Linked DNA regions of Macaca fascicularis. The protein of the gene in region 1 interacts with the protein of each later gene in a biochemical or structural test. Links are inferred from orthologs where the notes say so. Each region holds a gene or a part of one and is shown on either strand. Other genes may lie near its edges.

The links.
Region 2: of the proteins of MAPT (region 1) and PPP5C, one has a biochemical effect on the other in vitro, tested with the Homo sapiens proteins (3 studies listed by BioGRID). The link is inferred for Macaca fascicularis from reciprocal best matches to the Homo sapiens genes MAPT and PPP5C.
Region 3: of the proteins of MAPT (region 1) and MARK4, one has a biochemical effect on the other in vitro, tested with the Homo sapiens proteins (2 studies listed by BioGRID). The link is inferred for Macaca fascicularis from reciprocal best matches to the Homo sapiens genes MAPT and MARK4.

Annotation. Positions count from the first base shown.
Region 1 is NC_088390.1:67,600,423-67,604,067, reverse strand, and holds part of MAPT (microtubule-associated protein tau), read right to left. Parts: intron 1,132-3,645; coding exon 916-1,131; 3' UTR 1-915. UniProt on the Homo sapiens protein: Promotes microtubule assembly and stability, and might be involved in the establishment and maintenance of neuronal polarity.
Region 2 is NC_088393.1:54,404,355-54,407,999, forward strand, and holds part of PPP5C (serine/threonine-protein phosphatase 5), read left to right. Parts: intron 1-2,079; coding exon 2,080-2,227; intron 2,228-2,930; coding exon 2,931-3,052; intron 3,053-3,645. UniProt on the Homo sapiens protein: Serine/threonine-protein phosphatase that dephosphorylates a myriad of proteins involved in different signaling pathways including the kinases CSNK1E, ASK1/MAP3K5, PRKDC and RAF1, the nuclear receptors NR3C1, PPARG, ESR1 and ESR2, SMAD proteins and TAU/MAPT.
Region 3 is NC_088393.1:53,300,631-53,304,375, forward strand, and holds the start of MARK4 (MAP/microtubule affinity-regulating kinase 4), read left to right. Parts: upstream 1-1,293; 5' UTR 1,294-1,592; coding exon 1,593-1,643; intron 1,644-3,745. UniProt on the Homo sapiens protein: Serine/threonine-protein kinase. Phosphorylates the microtubule-associated protein MAPT/TAU. Also phosphorylates the microtubule-associated proteins MAP2 and MAP4.

The DNA.
Region 1 (3,645 bases):
TCTGTGGAGCAGAGGGAAGCCCCTCGGCTCAGGCCCCCTACCCTGCAGGGAGGGAGGAAGAGGCCAGCGCCCTCCGACATCAAGGTCAGTCTTTTCCAAGGAGGTCATCCAGGGGGTGCCACCCTCCCGCCAGCTTGCCTTCTCTTCTTACCCGCCGCCCCTTCTCCCACAGGCTGCCCTGCAGAGGGTGGCACATCAACTCGCAGCAGACCCTGGCCACCAAGGACAGGCAGCCGCTCAGTCTGAGACACTGCAGGTGGCGGAGGCCTTGGCCCTCCCAGTGGCGCGGAGGAGGGCATCTCCTCTCCAGCATGTGGCTTCCTCTCCCACTCCCCCTTCTCGTCCTTCCTCTCCCCTCTGCCCAGCCCCTGCCTTGGCCTCCCCCATGGCCTCCCGCCCCACCCCCACCCGTCACACTCACACAAGGTTGACATCGTCTGCCTGTGGCTCCACGAACACACCAAGTTTCAAATCCTTTGTTGCTGCCGCTGCCTCTGTGACACCCCCACGACAGGGCCAGAGGCGGTGGGCACCCCCAGTCTCTTGAAATCCCCCCGAAGCAGCTTTCACAGCCTCTCCTTCTCCCTCTTCTACATGGAGGGGGAAAAAAAAAGAATCAAAAGGAATTGCCCGAGGAAATGTTGGGTGTGGCCATGTTTTTGAATGTTTTTTAAAAAATATTTTATTATTAGCCCACCGATCAATTTGGAAAGATGCAATTTGCTCTTATTCCCATCACTGATTTTGAAGTCCCGAGCCAAAGCCGAGCGATAAAAGCCGGTTAAGTGATGAACCGATTAACCGAACTGCGAGGAGCAGCTGGGGGCAGAGGGCGGGGCCGGGTCATTATTCTTTTTTTTTCCACACTCTCACTCTCTCTTCTCTCCACGATTATTGACCGCCCCGGGGGCCTGATCACAAACCCTGCTTGGCCAGGGAGGCAGACACCTCGTCGGCTAGCGTGGCGAGCTGGGGCGAGTCTACCATGTCGATGCTGCCGGTGGAGGAGACATTGCTGAGGTGCCGTGGAGACGTGTCCCCAGACACCACCGGCGACTTGTACACGATTTCCGCCCCGTGGTCTGTCTTGGCTTTGGCGTTCTCGCGGAAGGTCAGCTTGTGGGTTTCAATCTGCAAGGAGAAGAGGAAGGGAGGGAGGGTGAGATGAAGTGCCAGAGAAAGAGAGACCAGCCCTGCCAACTGCCCTGCCAGGCCTGGCCCACAGTGCCAGGGACTGTTGTTTATTTGTTTTTGAGACAGGGTCTTGCTCTATCACCCAGGCTAGAGTGAGGTGGTGCAATCTCACCTCACTGCAGCCTCAACCTCCCAGGCTCAGGTGATTCTCCCACCTCAGCCTCCCGGGTAGCTGGGATTACAGGTGCATTCCACCACACCTGGCTAGTTTTTTGTATTTTTAATAGAAACGGGGTTTCACTATGTTGCCCAGGCTGGTCTCGAACTCTTGGGCGGAAGCAATCTGCCCGCCTCGGCCTCTCAGAGTGCTGCCATTACAGGCGTGAGCCACTGTGCCTGGCCAGAAGCTGTTGTTTTTATTGTCTTCCAATTCGTAATCCCTGTGCCCACTCCTCCCCTGACCTGCCTCCCAGGCACCCAGGTACCCTCCCCAGAGACAGTGATCATTTTAAGTTTCTTGTGTATCCTGCAGAGATATTCCACACATAAACAAACACATGTGTGAGTGTATATGTACACAGGCTGCTTAGTATTCCGTCACCACGGATGTATCCAAAGGCGTCTACTCCTCTGTGAATGGATGCCTAGGCTGCTCCCGCCTTTAGTGATTACAGGCAATGGTGTGTATGAACAACCTCAGATAAATAACCCTGAATGAACATCATGTCACACACCTGTAAGTGTGTCCTAGAAGTGGAGCTCTTAGGTCAAAAGGCATGCGCATTTTATTTTGATAGATATTGCCAGATTGCAAAGGAAAATGTGGAAGGAGAAGCTGGAGAAGATCAAGGATGTCTCCCACAGCCACTGATGCCCAGACATGAGCCACACACATTCCTCCTGTTTGCCAGTGACTGATGAGTTTGGAGGGGCAGCAACTGTGGGCAGCACTGGCAGGTGGGCCACAAAACATGACATGACAAAGGCCTTTTTATGTGTGGGTGGGTGGATGGGTGATTTAGGATGGAGTCTGTCTAGCGACTTATCTATCCATCTATTATACATCCATCTATCTATCTATCTATCTATCTATCTATCTATCTATCTATCTATCTATCTACCTATCTATCTATCATCTACCTATCTATCTACTTGCCCAGGCTGGCCTCAAATTCCTGGGCTCAAGCAATCTTCCCACCTGAACCTCCCGGGCAGCTGGGACTACAGGCTCATGCCACCGTGCCTGGCTGAAGCCCTTTTGAAAGTAGAGAAACAGGCCGGGCGCGGTGGCTCAAGCCTGTAATCCCAGCACTTTGGGAGGCCGAGACGGGCGGATCACGAGGTCAGGAGATCAAGACCATCCTGGCTAACACGGTGAAACCCCGTCTCTACTAAAAAAAAATACAAAAAACTAGCCGGGCGAGGTGGCGGGCGCCTGTAGTCCCAGCTACTCGGGAGGCTGAGGCAGGAGAATGGCGTAAACCCGGGAGGCGGAGCTTGCAGTGAGCTGAGATCCAGCCACTGCACTCCAGCCTGGGTGGCAGAGCGAGACTCCGTCTCAAAAAAAAAAAAAAGAAAAAAAAAGAAAGTAGAGAAACACATGACCTAGCCAGGAGCCCCGAAGGATACCAGGAAACGCGGAAGCAGAAGGCGCTCACTGGAGAAGTGAGCAGCGCACAGGAATTCCTGATGACCCTGAAGCGGCCGACAGGGTTATCCTCAGCCCTTGTTGGGTCCTAGGCTCTTTGAGCATCTGGTAAAGCCAAAAATATGTGTGCACATGTCCACCCACGCTCACACCCACACAGCCATTTTCCATATAATTTTAGGAGTCCATGGATCCAGGCTGAAGGGCCCCTATTGCAGCAGGCTTGAATGGGCATAGAGAAAACCATGCTCCCGTTTAAGCTAGATGCATATTTTGTTCATTTGCAGTCACTACTTTGAAAAACAGATTGTTCTCTATTAGTGTATTTTCTTTTTCTTTTTCTTTTTTTTTTTTTTTTAGACAAAGTTTCACTCTTGTCACCCAGGCTGGAGTGCAGTGGCGCAATCTCAGCTCACTGCAACCTCCACCTCCCGGGATCAAGCAATTCTGCCTCGGCCTCCCGAGCAGCTGGGACTACAGGTGTGTGCCACCACACCCAGCTAATTTTTGTATTTTTTGTAGAGACGGGGTTCTGCTGCATTGGCCGGGCTGGTGTCGAACTCCTGATTTCAGGTGATCTGCCTGCCTTGGCCTCCCAAAGTGCTGGGGTTACAGGCGTGAGCCACCATGCCTGGCCTGTTACTGTATTTTCTTGAAAGACCATTTAATACAAGCTTTGATAAAAATATTTATGTTAATGTTTTTTGAAGTGTTTTTTAAGAGAAAGTTGACATTCCTGGGAATGTCCAAAAATCCCCAAACTGAAAGGAACCCAGGAGGCTGGTGGTGTGCCCCACTGCTTGTTAGCAATTTTTCTCAACACACGGAAAACGGGACTAACGCTGCGGGGATCCCTGGGACCA
Region 2 (3,645 bases), on another chromosome or scaffold:
GCTTCCGCTGCCCCTGTTGCTATTCCCACTCCCTTTCTCCTGCCTGCACTGTTATTGTTTGCCTTCATCTTCCTTCCTAGCCCGCCCGCCCCCGGAGAATAGGAGAATAGGAGACTGGCGGGGAGGAAATGCTCAGTCACTCATTCATTTGTTTGGAGAAAGAGGGGAAGGGAAATTCATTCACTGCTGCAAGCACAGCTATGGCTGAGCCTCAGCCCTGCCCTCACAGGGCCCCCTTCCAGTGCGGTGGACAGACCGGTTCCCAGCAGGGCTCATGGCTGGAACAAGGGAGCCCAGGGGCCTTTGGGAGCCCAGAGAGGTTGCCTGACCCAGCCTCTGGGGCTTCCTAGAGGAGGGGACAGTGGGGCTGAGACCTGGAGGAGGAGGTGGAGGTGCGAATGAGGTGCTCCGGGCAGGGGCAGCCTGCACAAAGGCCCGGAGCCAGCACGCTGGGGACATGAGTGGTCTGGCTGGGAGGTATAGAGGGGTGGGAGGAGCCGCATGGGCCAGGACACATGCTGATTTGGACACCAGCCGGGTGTGCGCACATAACCGCTCCCCATTGGGAAGGATGCCAGGGGCTGCCTGGTGCTATCTTCCTCCCCTGCCTTACACCCACCCACAGCCCAGGTGGAGCTGCCTGGCAGGGTGCCCTGGGCCTGCCCAGACAGGGAGGAAGCCGTGGCCTGCTAGGCATGGGCTCTTCTCACCCCGCTTGACACACACACCTGTTCCCAGCGTGGATGAGCCTCACCCCTCACCTCTGTCACACCAGCCTGCAGGGGTCAGTGGGTGTCTCTGGAGGTTTCTGACTCACACTGCCAGGCTTTCCACCAGAGGCCACCCCTGCTCCTTGAGGGCCGGCCCTGGGGCCTCCCAGTCTGTCCTCTGGCACAGGAGCTGTGGGGGTCCGCTCCTGGGGAGGCTAAGGCTGGTGGGCAGGTCAGACAGGGTCTACATGACTAAACTGAGACTCAGAGAGGTGAAGTCACTTGCCCAAAGTCACACGGCAAGTAAGTAGCAGAGCCAGGATCCGAATCCAGCTCCCAAATCCAGTCTGCTTTTCAGGTTAGAAGATCCGAGTTTGCAGGAATTGGAGTAAATAAGATGGGGAGAGGGGAGAGGATAGGGCTCCCTTCACTGGGAACTTGCTCTGTCCCAAAGCCGAGCGCCCCACGCCTATCATCTGATCTGGTCATCAGCGCAGCAGCCCCAGAGCGGGGACCGTGAAGAGCAGTGGGCGCCAACGTGGAGTTTCCTTTCACCTGGCACCACTGTGCAGAGTTCACAAGATTCACCCGTGCAGCTCTCACCGCGGCCTTCTGAGGGAGACACGGTTCTCAGTCCCACCTCAGAGGGAAACTGAGCCACAGAAGCAGACTCACCTGCCTGAGGTCACCCAACTCATGACCTACAGAGCTGGGATTTGAACCCAGTGTCCGGGATCTGTGACCCTCAGTTCCTCTCTTCAGTGGACAAAACAGGGAAATCCTTTGTCCCAGGCCTCCCCAGAGGGTGAGCAAGAGAAGTGACAGCACTCAGTGTTGCTGCCCGCCTGCCCCTGCTGCGTGCCAGGCCTTGTGTGTTACTTATTACTTCCCACAGCCCTGGCAGGGGAGCCCTGTGTCACCTCCCTGTTAGAGATGAGGTAACCTGGGCTTGGGGAGCCCATGTCGTCCAGCAAGTCATTGGCCCTTTGCGGGCCCTTCCTCTCATCCTCCTGCCGCCTTGGTAGTCACGATAGTAGCATCAGGACATGTGCTTGGGACGTCGCTCGCCCCACAGGGATTCTTACAGGGCACCCTGAGCCCATAACCCTCAGACAGGCAGTTGTTTGATTTTAGCGCACTCTTGGCTAAGATTGATGAAGTGCACCCGTGCGGGCAGCTTTGCTGTACCCAGTTTTGGGGTGCAGAAATCAAGGCTCAGAGGTTAAACATGTCCAGGGTTGCACCGTCAGCACCTGGCGCCCAGGCGGTCTGACTTCCGTGTTCATGGAACCCAGGGCTGGGCAGCCTGGGGGCAGCCGCTGTACCCCCACCTCAGCCTCAGCGTGCACACTCCTTCCCTCCCCACCAGGTTGTCAAGGTGAAGCCCCACGACAAGGACGCCAAAATGAAATACCAGGAGTGCAACAAGATCGTGAAGCAGAAGGCCTTTGAGCGGGCCATCGCGGGCGACGAGCACAAGCGCTCCGTGGTGGACTCACTGGACATCGAGAGCATGAGTGAGTCGGGCCCGGGCGCGCCATGCTTCAGCCCAGAACATTCCACGCGGGCCCTCTTCATTCCCTGGGGGTGGGGGTGGGCTCAGGGGTGGCCCCTTGTTCTGTCCCCAGCCTACTGTCTGTCACTCCTCTGCCTGTGTTCCAGGGCACTCCATCCACAGCCCAAAGCAGGGCCTCACGTTTCCCAGTGAGCAAGACTGGGGAGCCGTGGACCCACTGCCAGTTCACGGGCCCTCCCTCTGGGTAGTAGCACAGGCCCCACAGGCTGTGTCTGATTCACCTCTAGGTGCTGAGAGGATCCAAGTGATTGTTCTGGATCATCCCACAGATGATTATTGAGCATCTCCTATGTGCCGGGCACTGTCCTAGGCACTGGGGGTACAGCTATGAACAAAGCCCTCCCTGTCCTCATGGAGCTGATATTCTAGGAGGGAGATAAGATGATGAACAAGTCACGAAATGAATAGTGCTAAGTGCCATAAAACTGAATAGGGTAAAAGGATGTGGGTGAAGGTAGAGAGGGAGGTCAGGAAGAGGCCTCTGGGCCAGACCTGACCCAGGAGGGGACTCTTCACTTGCTCCGTCCCTCTCTCAACCTGTGTGTCCAGAGCCAGGTTTGCCCCATCCCTAGGAGCGAGACCTCTTCCCCACTCACAGTGGCTGTGGTCACTGACTCTCGTGTCCCCCCTCGTTCACACCCCAGCCATTGAGGATGAGTACAGCGGACCCAAGCTTGAGGATGGCAAAGTGACAATCACTTTCATGAAGGAGCTCATGCAGTGGTACAAGGACCAGAAAAAACTGCACCGGAAATGCGCCTACCAGGTAATGCACCTGTCAGGTACCAGGCACCCGGGAACCCTGGGGTGGCATCACAGTGCTGCCAGCCATGGGCACTGAGCAAAACGACAGGAGGAGGGCGGCAACGACAGGAGGAGGGCGGCCACGACAGCCAACACTGAGCAGGAGTCGTGTGCCAGACACCGTGCCAAGGGCTTCCCACAGAGTCTCATCTCATCCATCCCACAGCAGCTTGGGGCGGTGGCGGGCAGTGCCGTTTGACAGATGCAGGGACAAAGGGCCAGAGAGGTCAGGGTGAAAGGTGAAGAAGCAGCGGAGTCTGTTGCTTGGAGTTCTCATCCCAGGCTCTTGGGCAGCTGTGGCTGCTGGTTGTTGCAGGCTGTTTGGGACCTGATGGTGGCTCCTAGTCCTGAGACCATCCCCTCCTCCGAACCAGGAGGGCAACTGGCCACAGGGTGTTAACTGGTTGAGTGAGACTTGGGCTCTGGTATCCTATCTGGACAAGGCCCCCTGCCCTGACCTATCAGGGACTTTACCATAATTTGGGGGATCTGCCGAGATCCACCACCTCCTGGGTTGGTTGTGAGGATGCGGGACTTCTTGTGAGTCAGGTTGAC
Region 3 (3,745 bases), on another chromosome or scaffold:
ATGGCAAATGTAGTAAGATAATTAGGACGTGATGAGTATGTATTACCTGGACTTTTAATATAATTTAATTGTATGTTTGCATAATTTAATTTTTAATAATGGCTGTGTTTAACAACCAGTTCCAAAATTCCTGAGACATAACAATCAGCTTGCTCCAGCCAGATCCAGCACACTGCTGTTTTAGAAGGGAAAACTGAGGGTCAGGAAAGTGGCCCTCAGATAGACGAAGGCAGGGCACAGACCCCTTCCCAAAACCGTGTGACTCCCAGGCCAAGACTATGTAATGCCCGTTTTTCTTGTGGATGGTCCCCACAGCGCTGTGTGGCCTCCGAGAGGCCTTTGTCCTCTCTGGTCTCAGTCTGCCCGCATGGGGAGTGGCCGTGCCCTGCAGGCGAATACCTGCACAGGGTTCCTTCGCACCTGCCAGTGAGCAACACACGGATTCTTCCTCTCACTTTACAAACTGGGAAAGTGAAGCCCAGAAAGGGCAAGTACTTGCCCTGGGTCATACAGGTGGACAGAGATGGTCCCCAGCTGGGGTGCAGAGGAGAGGATACTGCAGCCCCAACCGGGGGGTCTGGAGCTTTGTGGGTTGGTGGAGGCGGCCTGACTAGGGAGGTCGCTGAGCCCTCAGCATTGGCCAAGCCCTGCACACCATCCCCTTGACCCACCCCACCCTTAAGCCTCCGAGGGAAGAGCTTCCCCTGCCCCCCCGCCAACTGGGGAGAGAATGGACCGGGGGGGGGGGGGGGGGAGGGACAATGTGGGCAGCGCCTCTGAGGGCTTCTCTGGCTCAGTCCCTTTATCTCCATCTCTTCACAGATCTCTGCGTCTTTGTATCTCTTTGTCTCTCCCTGTGTGTGTGTGGGGGGGGGTCTCTCTTAGTCTTTGTCCCTCTGCGTCTCTGGGTCTCTCTGTCTCCGTGTCCCTGTATCTCTCCCTCTCTGTCCTCTGGCTCTCCGTTCATCTCCTTGCGCCTCTCTCTCCACCCTTTTGTAACTCGTCTCTCTCTCTTTGTGTCTCTTTATCTCTACGCCTCTCGATCTCTCTCTCTGCGTCTCTGGCGCTCTGCCCCGGTCTCTCTCTCCCCTTCTCTCCTCTCCAGTGCGCCTCTTCTTCTGGGCGAGAACACGCTCCCCGCCGGCGCGCCCAGACCCGCCTCCGCCCCCGGCGCCCCGGACCAGCCCGGGCCTGCGCCTTTAAGGGCCGGCGGCGGGGGGCGGGGTCCCGGTGCCCCGCCCTGCCCGCCCCTCCCCCTGACGTCCCTTCCTCCCTCCCCAGCCCCTCCACCGCCTCCCTCCGCCGCCGCCTGGGCCGGCTCCGCGCCCCCTCCGCGGCCCCCGCCCGCCCGCCTGCCCGCCCGCCGCCCCCATGGCGCCCGGGGTCCCCGCTGCACGGGGCCACTAGGACCCTCGGGGTCCCTTCCCCTCCCCCGCCCTGTCCTCTCTCCCGCGGCGCGGACCCGGGCGTTCTCGGCGCCCAGCTTTTGAGCTCGCGTCCCCAGGCCGGCAGGGGGGGGAGGGGAAGAGAGGGGACCCTGGGACCCCCGCCCCCCCCACCCGGCCGCCCCTGCCCCCCGGGACCCGGAGAAGATGTCTTCGCGGACGGTGCTGGCCCCGGGCAACGATCGGAACTCGGACACGGTGAGTGGGGCCCGGCCCCTTGGGGAGCCCTGACTGGGTCCAGCCGCCAAACCCTTCGCCCCGCTGTGCCCCTCGCCCCGCGAGCCCCTACCCTCGTTTCCTGGGCTCGACCCTACTCGTCGCCTCTCGACCCCTCCCGGACTTCCAGGCCTCTCGGCCCTCCCCACCTTTTCCAGCCCAGCCCGACCCCTGGGGGCGCCCCTCTCTCGGGACCCCTCTCTTGTCCCCGTGCAGAACGCTTCCGCTCGGGTCTGTTCCCTCCAGGAAGCCCCCTCCCCTGCTTCCAGGAGCCCCTCCCTTCCCTCGCGCGTGCTAAGCCCTTTCCCCTCCAGGCTGTCCGCGTCCGACACCTCGCCCCCTCCCGGATTTGCAGGGCCCCTGACCCCCCAAGGCCCGGCCCTGGCTCTCCCAGCGGGGCCTGGCCCTGTCCTGCCTCTGGCTCCGGCCTTCCCTATCTGGGGCTTGGTGCCGGCTCTCCAGGAGCCCCTCTCCTCTCATTCCCAGTCCTCTGCCCCTCCAGGACGCACCCGGGGCGCCTGTGGGCAGCCCCTGGCAGGAAGCTGGTTTCCACCTCTCCTGGGCCCCGGCCCTTTTCTGCCGCCTTCAAGGTCTCTCCTGTCCCAGGCCTGGTCCCCATCTTCCAAGCAGCCCTGTCCCTAGATCCCAGCACTCCGGGGCCCCCAGAAGCCACCTGGACCCTTTCTGGTCTCTTCCTCTCCCAGGAAGCCTTGGCCTCCAACTTCCAGGCCCCCACCTCACCCAGGCTCGTATTTCTAGGCCCTGGACCAGTCTGACTCCAGGCCTCATCCGCCCTCTATCAACTTCTCAGCTTCAGGCAAGCCCCTTCCCCAACCCCCAACCTCTCCACCCATGCTAGGCCAAACTTAGGCCCCTTCCCCACAAACCACCGTCCTTTCTCCTGCCCCAGGGCCTCCCCCTTCCTTGCTGGGGGTCTGGCCTCCCAAGGAAGCCCCCTCCTCAGCTTCAGAGGCCTTCCTCAGCTACAGGGCCTGGCCCCAGATCCTTCTTCCAGAAAACTCCCAGACCTGAAGCCTCTCATCTTGCCCTGGCTTCAAGCCCCTCATCTTGCCCTGGCTTCAAGCCCTTTTCCCTTGGGGTCAATCTGTTGGAAGCCTTCTCCCCAAATTTCTAGACCCTTTGACCTCCCCCAGGGCTCAGCCTTTATTCGTCTGTGCTGCTCCTTGCCCAAGAAACCCCTACCCCATACTTCCAGGTCCCCCAGACCCTTCTCTAGTTTCAAGGACTGCTCCTAGAAACCCCCTTCTCTGATTCCTAGGAGCTTCCCAAGATCCAGGGATTCCTGGCCTCTGACTTCCACTGCCCCAATAGCTTTGTCACTTTCCACCATTCCCAGGCGCCCCCTGCCTCTACACTGTTTCCCAGAGAGTCCCAGGGAGGCCCCTCCCTATCTCCTGTGTCTCTGATCACTCTGATCACTTCCAAAGACCTGCCCACCACCCAATCCTAGACGTCTCCCCAGCTGGGATCTTTGTGTCTTTCTCCAAATCTTTCTGCCAGGTCCCTGTTCCCCTTCCCCCTGTTTCCCTCACCTCTGACAGACCGCCCCCCCCACGCGCACACACCATCAGAGATTTGTATCTGTCCCTTCCTCATCTTGCAGATCCCTCCCTCACAGAGACCACCCCCATCATCACTACGGGCCAGAACTCCAATTTGGAGTCTAATGAAATGCCTACTACCTCTGTTCCTTGGTCACTGCAATCTACAGTGAGGTGCCAGGGGCTCCACAGTCCTGGGTTCCAATGCTGGCATGGCTAGCTGGTTTGCCTTGTGTCCTCAGAAAACCAGTTCTCCCTTTCTGAGCCTCAGTTTCCTGCCCTGGAAAATAGGGGTGACCGCTTGAGTGCCTCCTTGGCTTACTCGATTCAGGCAAAGCCTGGCACCTAGGAAGCACTCCACAAATGCCAGCTGCTATTGTGGCTGTGGGTATGAGTCAGACGGCCCGTGGATTCTCAGCTCAGGGCTGTTATTAGTTGTTGAGTGAGGCTGCAGATTCACTCCCAGCTTGCAGCCTCAGTTTCCTTATCTCTAAATCGGGTTGCTGATGGCCCTCCGCTGTT